Anolis sagrei: one gene and its partner. The protein of the gene in region 1 interacts with the protein of each later gene in a biochemical or structural test. Links are inferred from orthologs where the notes say so. Each region holds a gene or a part of one and is shown in the gene's direction. Other genes may lie near its edges.

Region 1 (7,453 bases):
GTCTGCATTTTGGGTCATCAGCTGAATTTTCGATCCTAGCCTTAATGGCATTTGTTCTGATGGCTTGGCAGTAGTGTAACTACTTGGCCACGGTGGTACACGCTCTTGTCACATCCCGCCTAGACTACTGCAACACTCACTACGTGGGGCTGCCCCTGAAGACGGCCCGGAAGCTGCAACTAGTCCAACGCGCGGCAGCCATGATTCTAACGGGAGCGGAGCGCAGGGAGCACACAACCCCCCTGTTGCACCAGCTCCACTGGCTGCCGATTTGCTACCGAGCCCAATTCAAGGTGTTGGTACTGGCCTATAAAGCCCTGAACGGTTCCGGCCCAAGATACCTATCTGACCGCATCTCGGCCTATGAACCCACCCGAACTTTGAGATCTTCCGGGGAGGCCCTGCTCTCGATCCCGCCAGCCTCTCAAGCACGGCTGGCGGGGACGAGAGATAGGGCCTTCTCGGTGGTGGCTCCTCGGCTGTGGAACGCCCTTCCTGTAGATGTTAGGCTGGCACCATCGCTTATGACATTCCGTAGAAAGTTAAAGACCTGGATGTTTGTGCAGGCATTTGAGTAACTTAGTGCAATCTCTGGTAAATTGAACATAGGAACGGAACAATGGACAACGAACTTGGACTACGTTTGGAAGATGAGGCGACCCGGGGTGGGTTTTTTGTGATAACTGTGTATTGATGTTTGTTTATTGCTAGAAATGGAATTGTGTAGTTTAACTGTTTGACTTATTGATTACTGCTGTTTTTACTGTCTTTGTTGTTTGCTTTCTGGAAACCGCTGTGAGTCGCCCTCGGGCTTGAGATACAGCGGTATACAAGAATAGTAAATAAATAAATAAATAAATAAACTACCAGCAGGTCCAACCAAGCCAGAGAGGTCTCAGCTGAGAAGTGGAACTAAGAGCACCCAACCCATTAGCACTATGGAGAAACAAACCAAAATTAAGTCTATACTGGCTCGGCCGATGTCCGGGATGAAAAGGACTATGGTGGATGCTGCTGATTCTGGACATCCATCAACAAGTGAGCTACAGAATCAAAATACAAATGAACAGTCACAGAAGCGGCAAAAATATACAATGCCAGAAAACTGCACAATTATTATTACTAATATTATTAATACCAAGATTAAGGTTAAGGTATTTATTATTTACTTATTCAGAGCATTTGTATCCCATCCTTCTCAACCCTCGAAAGGGGATTCAGGACAGCTTACAATTTGCAGTCATTAGATGCCGACAAAGAAACAGTTAGAGCACAACAATTAACATCAACAGGTCAACTGCAATAAAAATACATTTAAAAAGCAATAAAATACACTAAAAATATTGGCCCTTAAAATATTAACACAACCAAGTCTGAGTCTGCAACGGTTTTCCCCTGACATTAAGTCCAATCAAATTCGGAAGAATGTTGCACTCGCAGAGCTCAAGTGGTGTTGTATTTCAGTGTCAATGTTGACTTTTGTGGAGAGGTGGCTGCCAAGGTAGGGGAATGGCAGCATTTCCTAATGTTACACCATTAAGCTGTATTTCTGACATTGGAGAGGGATTAGTTGGTGCCTGCTGGAAGAGTACTTTGGTTTTCTCAATGTTCAATGAGAGGCTGAGCTTCTCGTATGCTTCTGTGAAGTTGTTTAGAGTGGTTTGTAGGTCTTCTTCTGAGTGTGTACAGACGACATTGTCATCAGCATATTGGAGTTCTATAACAGATGTTGTTGTGACCTTGGTTTTGGCTTGCAGAGTGCTGAGGTTAAATAGCTTGCCACCTGTCTGATAGATTATTTCCACTCAGCTTCCTGTCAACAAGATGATCATAGCAATGAAGATGGGAAAATAAGGTTGGGGGTCACCACAACATGAGGAACTGTATTAAGGGATCCCAGCATTAGGAAGGTTGAGAAACACTTTTTTAAACAGAGGCTGGATGGCCATCTGTCGGGGGTGCTTTGCTTGCATGAAAGAAGGCGGTTGGACTAGATGGTCCGTGTGGTCTCTTCCAGCTCTTATTATTCTCTGAGGGTTGAATGAAAAGTAATGCCTCCACCTTCGTTACTTGGGTTTGGATGGGAATATCTTAATCGAACACAGGAATAATCCTTTGAATGTGCTCTTTAACTACTACTTTTCCACATAATCACCAGACAATTGGATACATTTCTGCCAACGATGAACAAGTTTTCTGAAGCCGTCACAGAAGAAGTCGACACTCTGTTTCCGCAAGCAGCGTCGCACAGTTCTCTCAAAGTATTAATCAGAAGCATAATGATGTCCCTGCAGATCTTCTTTCATTATCGGGAACAGATGGAAGTCAGATGGTGCTAAATCTGGACTGTAAGGAGGATGTCATACGGTGGTGAGATCCAGTCTCTGAAGTTTCAAGTCTGTGCGCTTTCATTTCAGGCATTAGCATCCTGGGTACCCATTGTGCACAGATCTTCCGATAGCCAAGCAAAGCAATGATGTGACCCATACGTTCCTGTGAAATGCTTGAAATTTCTCATATGCTTCTGCGAGTACAGCATTTTTCCAAATGAAGCACAGAGTGTTTGAGGACCAGGACATCCGTAGGGAGACCAAGGTGCTTGTTTATAAAGTTATTGTCCTCCCAACCTGCTATACGCCTGCAAGACGTGGACTATCTATAGACGTCACAAGCAACTCCTAGAACGATTCCATCAGCGTTGCCTCCGAAAAATCCTGACCCTTGAGCGCTTCAGCTGGAGGTCAACTGTGACCAGCAGTGCTGTAGAATTGGAAGAGGCACGGATGGAGGGTGAAAGAGAGAAACATACCAAGAGGATGATCATCCTAAATCAATCTGTCAACCTTTTGCTTATGAAACTCGGTGGTTGCTGTCACAGGATGTCCAACTCTTTGTCATGCAAGTCAGATGTTCCCACCTCAACATCTTTAAACTTACTCACCCAATGATGCACAGAACTCACATCAACACAATTACCATAAACAGCTTGCATTCTCTGATGAATCTCCTTTGGGGTGACACCTTCTGCTGTCAAGAATTCAATGACTGCACATTGCTTAAGTCGCATTGACCGACCGTCTGCACAGGGTTCCATACTTCACAATTTAACAACACAACCGTTCAATGCTAAGGCTTCCAGCCAAAATGAAACTGTAGAGGAGAGTCTACTGAACAAGCCAGTACCTGCCACATACCAGTACTTACTTACTTAGATGATCCCTCATTGTCCGAGTAGGATTGTCTTCCAAGATTGGTGTACTGGAGGTGGGTCCATAGGTGGCTGTGGAGCCCTATTCTTGATCTGCATGTTCTCCCGCAGTGAGGGCATTGCTTTCCAGGTGGAAGGCAGTCCTGGTGGGGTTGGCTTGACGTGCCTTCCTCTTGACATGTTTCTCTCTTTCACCCTCCATTCGTGCCACTTCAAATTCTACAGCACTGCTGGTCACAGCTGACCTCCAGCTGAAGCGCTCAAGGGCCAGCCTTTTTCGGAGGCAACGCTGATGGAATTGTTCTAGGAGTTGCTTGTGATGTCTATAGATAGTCCACATCTCGCAAGTATATAGCAGGGTTGGGAGGGCTATAGCTTTATAAACAAGCACCTTGGTATCCCTACGGATGTCCCGGTCCTCAAACACTCTGTGCTTCATTTGGAAAAATGCTGCACTTGCAGAGCTCAGGCAGTGTTGTATTTCTGTATCAGTGTTGACTTTTGTGGAGAGGTGGCTGCCAAGGTAGTGGAAATGGTCAACATTTTCTAATGTTACACCATTAAGCTGTATTTCTGGCATTGGAGAGGGACTGGCTGGGAACTGCTGAAAGAGCACTTTGGTTTTCTTGCTTTTAAATGACAGGCCAAGCTTGTTGTATGCTTCTGCGAAGGTGTTTAGAATGGCTTGTAGGTCTTCTTCTGAATGCGCACAGACGACGTTGTCATCAGCATACCGGAGTTCTATAACAGATGTTGTTGTGACCTTGGTTTTGGCTTTCAGTCTGCTGAGGTTAAACAGCTTGCCATCTGTCCGACAGATAAATTTCCACTCCTGTGGGAAGCTTCCCATCAACATGATGAAGGATCATAGCAATGAAGATGGAAAATAAGGTTGGGGCAATAACACATCCCTGTTTGACACCTGATTCCACCTTTGGCAGCTGTAGAGGAGAGTCTACGGAACAAGCCAGTACCTGCCGCATACCAGTACTGCCGTCTGTTGAGGAGTTAGGAAGGTGGAGGCATTACTTTCCACTCAAGCCTGGTATGATACTCCCCCCCCCCTCCCCGCTCTCCAAAATGAGCTCCTTTTGGTTGCTCCTGCTGCCACCGCCTGGATGGAATGAGGAAGACTTGAGGACGTCCCAAAAAAGAAAGAAAAAAGAGGAGGAAGAGAGGGGAAAGGAGAGGGGGGAGAAAAGAGGCGGAAGGAGAGGAGAGGAGAGAAGAGAAGAGGAAGGGAGGAAGGGAGGAAGGCGCAGAGAGGCCGGAGCGAAGCGTCCAGAGCGCCCAGGCAGAAACGAGAAGACGGAGTCGCGCAAAGCAGGCGCGGCCATGTGGGTGCGGGGCTGGGACTGAAGGGCCCGGGAGGGGGCCATGCCATGCCCGCGCTGAAGCCATGCCCGGGCTGGTGCCTCCTGTGCTGCCTGCTGGGAGGGGGGCTGGCCCCGGGCCCCGTCGGAGCCGGAGGGCCCCGGGGAGGAGGAGGAGGAGGCGGCGGCGGAGGAGGAGGAGGCGGCGGCGGGGGCTGCCAGCCCTGTCCCCCGGACTGCAGCTGCAGGAGCCTCCCCGCCGCCAGCGCCCTCGCCTGCGCCCTGGACTGCGCCAACAAGGGCTGGCCCCGCTTCCCGCCTTCGGGGGCGCCCTTCCCCGCCAACACCGCCGCCCTGTGAGTACCAGGGGCCCCCCGGGGAGGGGAAAGGGGCCCCCAAGGCACCCCGAGGAACCAGGGGCGCCCGGGGAGCCTCGGCAAGGAGAGCGGGCTGTGCGACAACAGGCCAAGAAGGCTGCGAGGCAGGGCGGGCTCCTCTAAAACTCTTCCCAAAGAAGGCTTCAAAGGCAGGGTGGCCCAAAAAAGGGGGGGGGGGATTTCGGACAAGAAGAGGCCACTGGAAGAAAAGGAATCGGTCCCCTGAAAAGGCCGGGGGGGGGGGGAGCCTTAGCAACTCCTCGCCACAAGGAACAGAGTTGGCTGTGCGTCAAAAGGGAAGGGAAGGTTTGGAGACCGGGCTCTTCCTCGGCTCTTCCCAAAGAGGGGTTCAAAAGCAGGGTACCCTAAATTGAGGGGTTGTGGACCCCAAGAGGCCACTGGAGGAAAGGAGAAGGGTCCCAGGAGAAGGCCAGGGAGCCGTTACAACTCCTCGCCCCAAGAAGCAGAGTTGGCTGTGCCTGAAAGGAAAGGGAAGCTTTGGAGACTGGGCTCTTCCCCAGCTCTTCCTAAATAAGGGGTTATGAATTGTAAAGTGCCCGAAAAGGAGGGATGATGAATGGCAGGGTGCCCTAAAAGGGGGGATTGTGGACCCCAAGAGGCCACTGGAGGAAAGGCAAAAGGTCCCAGGAAAAGGCCAAGGGGGAGCCTTTGCAACTCCTTGCCACAAGGAGCAGAGTTGGCTGTGTCTAAAAGGAAAGGGAAGGTTTGGAGACTGGGCTCATCCCAAAGAAGGCTTCAAAGGCAGGGTGCCCTAAAGGAGGGGATTGTGGACCCCAAGAGGCCACTGGAGGAAAGGGAATAGGTCCCTGGAGAAGGCCAAGGGGGGAGCCTTTGCAACTCCTCGCCACAAGGAGCAGAGTTGGCTGTGTGTAAAAAGGGATGGGAATGTGTGGAGACTGGGCTTTTCTTCAGCTCATCCCAAAGAAAGGCTCAAAGGTTGCCACAAAGGTTGCCAAGGGGGCAGGAATGGCTGTACGCAAAGGGGAAAGAAAGGAAAGGTTTGGATACCGGGTTCTTTCCTGCCTTTGCATTGCCTGTTTACAGTTATACATTTGGGGACTGGGGTGAGGGGTGTCTCTAAAAAAGATGGGGTGGGCTTTGTCTCCTTGTGGGGGGGGGGGGTGTGGACTCCAAAAGCAGAATGGAGGAAGGGGAAGGGTCCCAGGATAAGGAGAATCCATAGAGGAGGTCCTATGGAACTCCCTGCCACAAGGGATGCGTCTGCACAGCAGGATGAATGCAGTTTGAAATTGTTTTCTCTGTCATGGCTCAGTGCTATGGGATCCTGGGTGTTGTCTCTTGGACAGAGACAGTTACAGACGTGGCAAAGCTATAAATCTAAAGATTCTATACCATTGACACATGGCAATTCAAGTGCAGCATACGTTCTTGAATGATGTTGTTTCATCTTTGGAAGAGTTTTTGTGTGTGGCTGCCCACCATTGCAATGAAAATAAGACCAATGTATGAATCCATCTCAATGCTTCCCACTTTCAAAGGCCTCTCCACACCTTGTGGCAGTGAGTTCCAAGGGTTAACCACAGCTAGTTGTATAAATCAAAGCTCACGTTTGTTTATGATCTGTCATTCTGGTATAATAAATAAGGTGGAGAAAATATATTACATTGTTCGATATACACTCCTGTCCTATTTTGCTTTCTGCTTTCCTCAACAACTTGCTTTGAGGTGGATGCAACTTCAACCTTGCGGGTTGAAATAATTAATATCCTTTATACTTTGAGGATTTCAAAAAGAGGAAATGCAGTAAATTGGAGGTCTGATAAGTAGCCCTTTCCACCTTTGTACCCGATTGACTTCCGAATTGTGCTTTTCTCTCCAAATTAATTGGAGAGGGGTCTAAATGCTTGCATTTCCTAAGAAACTCTATCAGCTGAAGTTTTCTTAGTATCTCAGGTCCTTTAACCTGCCCTCTTTTGAAATCATTGGTATTGGGTTGTTTGCCTTTGAGAGGAGAAATGAGATTGCAGGGTTTGAGCATCCTTTGCAATCTCCGATTCAGTGTATTTATTGATATTTCTAAGTATGTATTAGAGTTGCTTCTGCACTGTGTAATGACTGCAGTTTGATGCCCCCTTAATTGCCAAGGCTCAATGCTACGGGGTAGTTTTGTAAGGTCTTGAGCCTTCTCTGCCTTTGTTATTTGTCTTCATTTCCACATTATAGCGGTCTTAAGGTTGCCCTTATACGGAAGGCATATTATGTGTTATATGTATTTTACTGTATTTTGTGTATTCTGTTTGCACTACTATGTGCTTTGTAAGCCGCCCCGAATCCCTTTTGGGAGATGGTGGTGAAATATAAATACAGTTGGTTATTGTTACTGTTGTTGTTGTTAGTATAAGGTGTTTGCCATTGCTATATTATTATTATTATTATTATTATTATTATTATTATTATGAAGTGTTTACCATTGCCTTCCTCTGAAGCTGAGAGAGTGTGACTTGCCCCATAGCCACTCAGTGGGTTTTAGAGCCAAGCAGGGATACGAACCCGGGTCTCCAGAGTCATCCCTT
Region 2 (7,302 bases), on another chromosome or scaffold:
TTGTTGTTTATTCATTCAGTTGCTTCCGACTCTTCATGACCTCATGGACCAGCCCACGTCAGAGCTCCTTGTCGACCATCACTACCCCCAGCTCCTTCAGAGTCAAGGCAGTCCGTATGCTATCCAAAGCTTTTATATATACAGTAGAGCCTTGCTTATCCAACATAAACGGACCAGCAGAATGCTGGATAAGCAAAAATATTGGATAATAAAGAGAGATTAAGGAAAAACCTATTAAACATAAAATTACATTATGATTTTTCAAATTGAGCACCAAAACTTCATGTTTTACAACAAATTGACAGCAAAAGCAGTTTAATACATGGTAATATCATGTAGTAATTACTGTATTTCCCAATTTAGCACCAAAACATCACAATGTATTGAAACAGCTGTGAATCAGGGCTGGAGGCAGATTGCATTGGATAATACAGAACGTTGGATGAACGAAGGTTGCACACACACACACACACACACACATATAGTGTCTAGGAGCCCCCAGTAGCACAGTGGGTTAAAGCGCTGAGCTGCTGAGCTTGTTGATCGAAAGGTCGCAAGTTCGATTCCAGGGAGCAGTGTGAGCTTCCTCTGACAGCCCCAGCTTCTGCCAACCTAGCAGTTTGAAACATGCAAATGTGAGTAGATCAATAGGCGGGAAAGTAACGGCGCTCCATGCAATCATGCCGGCCACACGACATTGGAGGTGTCTACAGACAACGCCAGCTCTTTGGCTTAGAAATTGAAATGAGCACCACACCACAGAGTCAGACATGACTGGACTTAATGTCAGGAGACAACCTTTACTTTTACTTATATATAGTGTAAAGATAAAGGTTTCCCAGGACACCTCCAAAGTCATGTGGCCAGCATGATTGCATGGACTGCTGTTACCTTCCTACAGTACCTGTTGATCTATTCACATTTACATGTTCAAACTGCTAGGTTGGCAGAAGTTGGGCCTAACAGCGGAAGCTCACCCCACTCCTCAGATTTGAACTGCCAACCTTTTGGTCAGCAAGTTCAGCAGCTCACTGTGCCATCAGGCACTCCCTAAGTTATGAACAAAATAAGCTCTGTAGGTTTGTTCTTCAACTGAATTTGTTTGTAAGTCAGAACAGGTAAATTTTACGTGTAACTCATTATCTACAGAACCTATCTGGTTCATAACTTGGGGAGTGCCTGTATACCTTGGCAAGTGAAATGACATTTTCCCCAATTTCTGAAGACAACATTTTGATGCTATTGGTAGTTTTTTTTCAAAAATATAAAGCATAAACCAGATTTTTACACTGATAACACACAAAGAAGAACTATTAAAACTTGCTAAAATGAAAAGGAAGATGCATTGATTCATAGGGTTGTAAAGCACTCCAACAGTCATCTTGTCTACTCCCCTACTAATGCAAAGATCCACTACTGAGGCCCCTGAGACATGGCAAGGGCCGTAGCCAGAATTTTTTTTGGGAGGGGTTGAAATTTGGGGGGGGGGATTTGAAAATTTCACGTGGGGGGGGGTTGAAACCTGCCTCTGAGCTCACGCCTAAGCAAAGAGCACAGCAGGGGGCAGAGCAGCCTTCAATAGCCTGCAGCTCCACCCCTGTCAACCACCTCCACCAAGTCTGGCCTCCTTAATGAGAGCATTCAACACTCCCCCCCCCCCCAACTTGGTTGCTTCACTACATCGGCTATTGCTGCAAGTAATGACAGTGTGAATAAATTGTCAATATTTGCTTGAGATAGCGCTTGCAGTTCTGGAGGGACTCTTAATTTTTTGCGTCTCATAGACTTAGCATGGGGATTTGGTTAACCAGTTAAAATTCATGAGTAAACCAGTTTTTTTTTCAGGGGAGGGGGGCATTGAACCCCTAACCCCCCCCCCCCCCGTGGCTACTTAATCACTGTTAAAAAAACTTCTCACAAAGCAGTATCCCCCCCTTCCTGAGATAGCACATTCTATTTTCAAACAGCATTTGCTGTCAGTAAGCTTTTCATAATGTTTAGACTAAATCTTTCTTATACATAATTTGCTATATAAGAGTTTTCATGATTTTTGTGCATTTTAATTTTCTAGCTATGATTAAAGTTATATTATTTTGAATACACATACATTAAGTGTATTCATGCAATAAAGATTCTAGGCATGTTTATGGAGGAGCATTTTTCATAGTGTTTTGGGTAAGAATTATGCCTACTGGAATATATTTCTTGGAGGAATAGCAAGCTATTGAAGTAATAATGGAAAGCAAAAGAAGTTTAATGCTATTTTGGCCCTTCCCCGTCTTCAGAACCTGCCTTTGTACAGCAAACATCTATGAATATGTGGAGACATATGCTATCTTTTGATGTTTTGCACTTGTACATAAAAGGGTTTTTTAAACACATTGCTGACCAATGAAATCATTGGTAGGGAAACAGACCTTTCAGGTGTACAAGTCCAAAACATAAAAACCAATGGGGAGAGACTGTAGAACCAATAGTCCCAAGTATTATGGCTGGTTAAGATTTCTTATCCCTGATTTGAATGGATATTTAAATTTAAATTTAAACACATTAGGAGCCACTTTTAAAATGTTAAAGGAAAAAGTAAAAAATGTAAAAGTAAAGGTTTTTCCCTGACGTTAAGTCCAGTCGTGTCCGACTCTGGTGGTTGGTGCTCATTTCCATTTCTAAGCTGAAGAGCCAGTTTAGTCCGTAGACACCTCCAAGGTCATGTGGCCAACATGACTGCATGGAGCGCCATTACCTTCCTGCCGGAGCGGTACCTATTGATCTACTCACATTTGCATGCTTTCGAACTACTAGGTTGGCAGAAGCTGGGGCTAACAGCGGAAGCTCACACTGCTTCCCAGATTCAAACCTGTGACCTTTCGGTCAACAAGATTAGCAGCTCAGTGGTTTAACCCACATGCTAGTAAAACTGATAAACCATGTCTGGAATCTGAAAGTGAGCCTTGCTAAGACTAGTTTGCAATGCATTTTCCTCGTATTGTTCTAGGGCATAGTCATTATTTAGCTAACTAAAGACAATTCAGATTCGCTACATCTAACAGTCTTTTGGATGCAGTCATATGCCTATTTATCTGACACAACGTCCTGTGTCAAACAAATACAGTAATATTTGGTTATGAATAGGTTTAAGACTGCTGTTTCTGTCAAATTTATGGCTGCTTGCTTAGATCCTATGCATTCCTTTATCAGCTACAGCTCTTCACGCGGGGACATGAAAGAAGTCTCCCATAAGGATGGTAAAACATCAAAATATCCGGGTGTCCCCTGGGCAACGTCCTGGCAGATGGCCAATTCTCTCACACAAGAAGCAACTTGCAGTTTCTCAAGTCACTCCTGACACCACACACACACACACACACACACAAATCAAGGAGTGGGCAGTGGCAAGGAATAAGGGTATCCTGTTAATATGGAGGGCTGACTGTACAGCCAATGGTTTTTCTTGTCTGAATTTATTTCAGAGAGAGGTTTGCTTTTGCTTCCTCTGAGGCTAAGAAACAGAGCCATGTCCAAGCAAATCCAGTAGTTTCTATGGCTGAGCAGCCCTTGGATATTGGGATTTATAGCTCACCCACAAGCAGAGAACAGTTGGAACCTGACCAAAGATGGATCTTGACCAAACTTGGCACACAGACCCAGCTTGGCCAACTTAAGTGGTGTGGTTTCGGGGGAATTGCCCTTGTATATTGGGATTTCTAGTTCACCCACATCCAGAGAGCAGTCAGAACCCAACCAGCGATGGATCTGGACCAAACTCGGCACACAGACCCAACTTGGCCAATTGAAGTGGTGTAGTTTGGGGGCAATTGCCCTTGGATATTGGGATTTAGAGTTCACCTAAGTCCAGAGAGCAGTCGGAACCCAACCATTGATTGGATCTGAACCAGACTTGGCACACAGACCCAACTTGAACTACTGATGCAGTTTGGGTGCGACAGATGATGATGGGAGATGTGGTTTACCCACACCCTTATGGGCCCATCTCCAACAATGCATCCTTCTTTCGTTCATCCTTACTAATGGGTACCTCGATTAGGAGAGAAAGAAAAGAGGGACGGTTGTGTCCGAACAAAGGCACAGCCTGGATCCCACCTCTCACCCTTTTCGGGAAGGCTTTAGCGTTGCCATTCGCCCCTGCCAACCCCCTGCCCTGTTTCCCCGCTCAGTTTCGGAGTTCCCCCGCCTCTCCTTGGGCGGCGAAGGCAAAGGCAAAGGCGTCGTCGGCGCCCGCCTCCCGCCCGCCTCCCTTTTGCCGGCTATTTTTAGTCCATCCTCCTCGAGTGGCCGCGTCGGGCTGCGAGCGCTGCGCTCCGAGAGAAACCCCTCGCAGTGGATGCAGCAGCAGCAGCAAAAGCGGCAGGGAGGACGACGACGACGAAGCAGGCAGAGGCTTCCCCCTTCTCCGCCTCTCCTCTTCATGACGGGCTCTCCCTCCTCCTCTTTCCTCTTCGCTTCCCTCTGCATCTGTCGGGGCAACTTTTACTTTCCGGACTCTGGCAGCCCTTGAAGATGGCAGTCCTGGGCAGGTCCATCCTCAGCCGCAGCCCTCGAGCCGGGAGATAAAAGAGGCTCTCGCATCCTCGCCAAAGGTGAGTGTAGCGCCCACTTTACCTTCCTAGGAATCACGCTGGAGGGCAGAGTGGCCCCTTCTCCTCCCTTTCCCCCACCCTACCTCGCCTCGAATTGGGTTCCGCTGTCTACACCCTACTTTGACACCGCTTTGGGCTCCTGGGAGTCTGAGTTGGGTGATGCACCGGCATCTCTTTAGCAGGGAAGGTGAAAGAAGACTTAGGGAAACTACAACTCACACTATTCACATCCTGGCAATTCAAGCTGGATCTCCACCGACAAGTTTGTGAACCCAGACCATCAGATTTGAACTGGATTAGATGAATCTACCTTACCATATAATCCAGTTCAAAGCAAAAAGGTCTGGGTTCAGAAACTGGATTGGATGTCAGTGCAGATGGGGCCTCAAATGGTGTCAAACTGTATCCATTCTACAGCACATCTTGGGAAAACTTTGGCCCTCAAGGTGTTTTGGACTTCAACTCCCACAATTCCTAAATTGTAGGAGTTGAAGTCCAAAACACCTGGAGGACTGAAGTTTGACCATGCCTGTTCTACAGTATATGCATCTCAGTGTGTATGAGAGAGAGCAAGGCCAGATTGTATTGTCAAAGGCTTTCATGGCCAGAATCACAGGGTTGTTGTAGGTTTTTCAGGCTACAACAACCTGTTCTAGAAGCCTTCTCCCCTGACGTTTCACCCACATCTATGCAGGCATCCTCAGAGGTTGTGAGGTCCAGATTCATTCAGCCTTTTGCCCCCCCCTCCTTTTCCCCATGTTGTTGTTCTTGTTGTTGTGTGCCCTTCTAGTTGTTTCCAGCCTATCACAGAACTTTCTGCCTTGACAAACTTTGTCCAGAAGAAGAGGCTTGCATTCTTCTGAGGCTGAGAGTTTGTGACTCACCCAGTGGGTTTCCATGGATTTGCAGAGGTGCATCTACACCAGTGGTTCCCAACCTTTTTTGACCAGGGACCACTTGAACAGGGATCACTTTGACCAGGGGCCACTTGACCAAGGACCACTTGACCAGGGTTCACTTGACCTTACTTAGGCGATTCCTCATTGTCTGAGTAAGATTGTCCTCCAAGTTAGGTGTTCTGGCAGTGGGTACGTAGGTGACTGTGGAAGAAGAAGCGTGCATTATTCTGAAGCTGAGAGACTGTGACTCACCCAGTGAATTTCCATGGCTTTGCAGGGGTGCATCTACACCAGTGGTTCCCAACCTTTTTTGACCAGGGACCACTTGAACAGGGATCACTTTGACCAGGGGCCACTTGACCAAGGACCACTTGACCAGGGTTCACTTGACCTTACTTACTTAGGCGATCCCTCGTTGTCCGAGTAAGATTGTCCTCCAAGTTCGGTGTCCTGGCAGTGGGTATGTAGGTGACTGTAGAAGAAGAGGCTTGCATTATTCTGAGGCTGACAGACTGTGATTCACCCAGTGGGTTTCCATGGCTTTGCAGGGGTGCATCTACACCAGTGGTTCCCCATCTTTTTTTTTTTGACAGGGACCACTTGAAAAGGGACCACTTGACCAGGGAACACTGGACCAGGGACCACTTTGACCAGGGACCACTCCCCAACATTAGTACCAAAAGGGTTACAAATCAGTTTTTGGTCAACTTTAGATTCAGTTTGGTTATTTGGAGTGCTAATTCAGAAAATTGCATTGAATAGACCACATCAGCTTTAGTTTATGATACAAAACATATCCCATCCAGTAGTCGCCATCTGCTCGCCCACAGAAAACCATATTTAATAATCCAGAGCTGATGTGGCAGTAGTAATCTTTCATGGATAGACGGCTTCTTCCCTCTCGACATCCCTATTGCCTCGGTACTATAAGAGGGTTTTGCGAGATGACTTGCTCTTGTTTCTGCGTGGTTTCATGGCAACGGTGTAGTAATGGTGAGGCCGCAGATCATATTTTCGTTCTTGTCATGGTCCACAGACCACAGGTTGGGAACCACTGATCTACACTACAGAATGAATGCAGCGTGACACCACTTTGACTGCCATGGCTCAATGCTATGGAATCATGGGATTTGTAGTTTCATGAAACACCAGCCCTCTTTGACAGAGGAGACTCAAGTCTTTGTCAAGTTCCAACTCTAATGGTTCCACAGAATTGAGTCAAGGCAGGTAAATTGATATCAAACTGCATTATTTCTACACTCTTGTTGCATCGTTGGTCTCCAGAGTTATAGATGTCAAACCGCTACACAATGCTGTCTTTCATAAGCAGGATAAATTTGGCACAGAGTTGATTTTTTTTTTGGTCGGGGGAGAAGTGGTTGTACTAACTTTCCCTTGCTTTTGAATGATGGCAATTAAACATAATTAATAATAAGAATAACTGATTTGGCAGGTTTTCCACGCCACTCCTCATTTGGTATCACCTCCTTTGGAATCCCATAGTTATTTGAATTTTGTCCTGAAAAAGGGTAGAGCTGGTGGGTGACAGGAAAGGGGAAGAATCATTTGTAGGCCAGTTGGTAAGAGCGTTCTAAATTCTACACTTATAAAGATGAATTGGGTAATTTTAAAAAGCTGCTCAGGAAAGTCTCAGTAGAGAGTGCATTGCCTGTATCAAACAGGTGGAAGAGCTCAGCTCTGAGAATGCAAACATTTAGTGTTGCGATTATAGTCACTGTGTCTTGGAAGAGCATAATTCGTTTTAGATTTCATCTAAACATTGGACACAAATCAATTACAGGTTA

Evidence for each region. The genes of interacting proteins can lie anywhere in the genome.
Region 2: the proteins of PKD1 (region 1) and HDAC9 form a complex in vitro, tested with the Homo sapiens proteins (2 studies listed by BioGRID, with this or other methods). The link is inferred for Anolis sagrei from reciprocal best matches to the Homo sapiens genes PKD1 and HDAC9.

Annotation. Positions count from the first base shown.
Region 1 is NC_090034.1:21,180,039-21,187,491, reverse strand, and holds the start of PKD1 (polycystin-1), read left to right. Parts: upstream 1-4,352; 5' UTR 4,353-4,590; coding exon 4,591-4,877; intron 4,878-7,453. UniProt on the Homo sapiens protein: Component of a heteromeric calcium-permeable ion channel formed by PKD1 and PKD2 that is activated by interaction between PKD1 and a Wnt family member, such as WNT3A and WNT9B. Both PKD1 and PKD2 are required for channel activity.
Region 2 is NC_090026.1:95,497,649-95,504,950, reverse strand, and holds the start of HDAC9 (histone deacetylase 9), read left to right. Parts: upstream 1-4,291; 5' UTR 4,292-4,598; intron 4,599-7,302. UniProt on the Homo sapiens protein: Responsible for the deacetylation of lysine residues on the N-terminal part of the core histones (H2A, H2B, H3 and H4).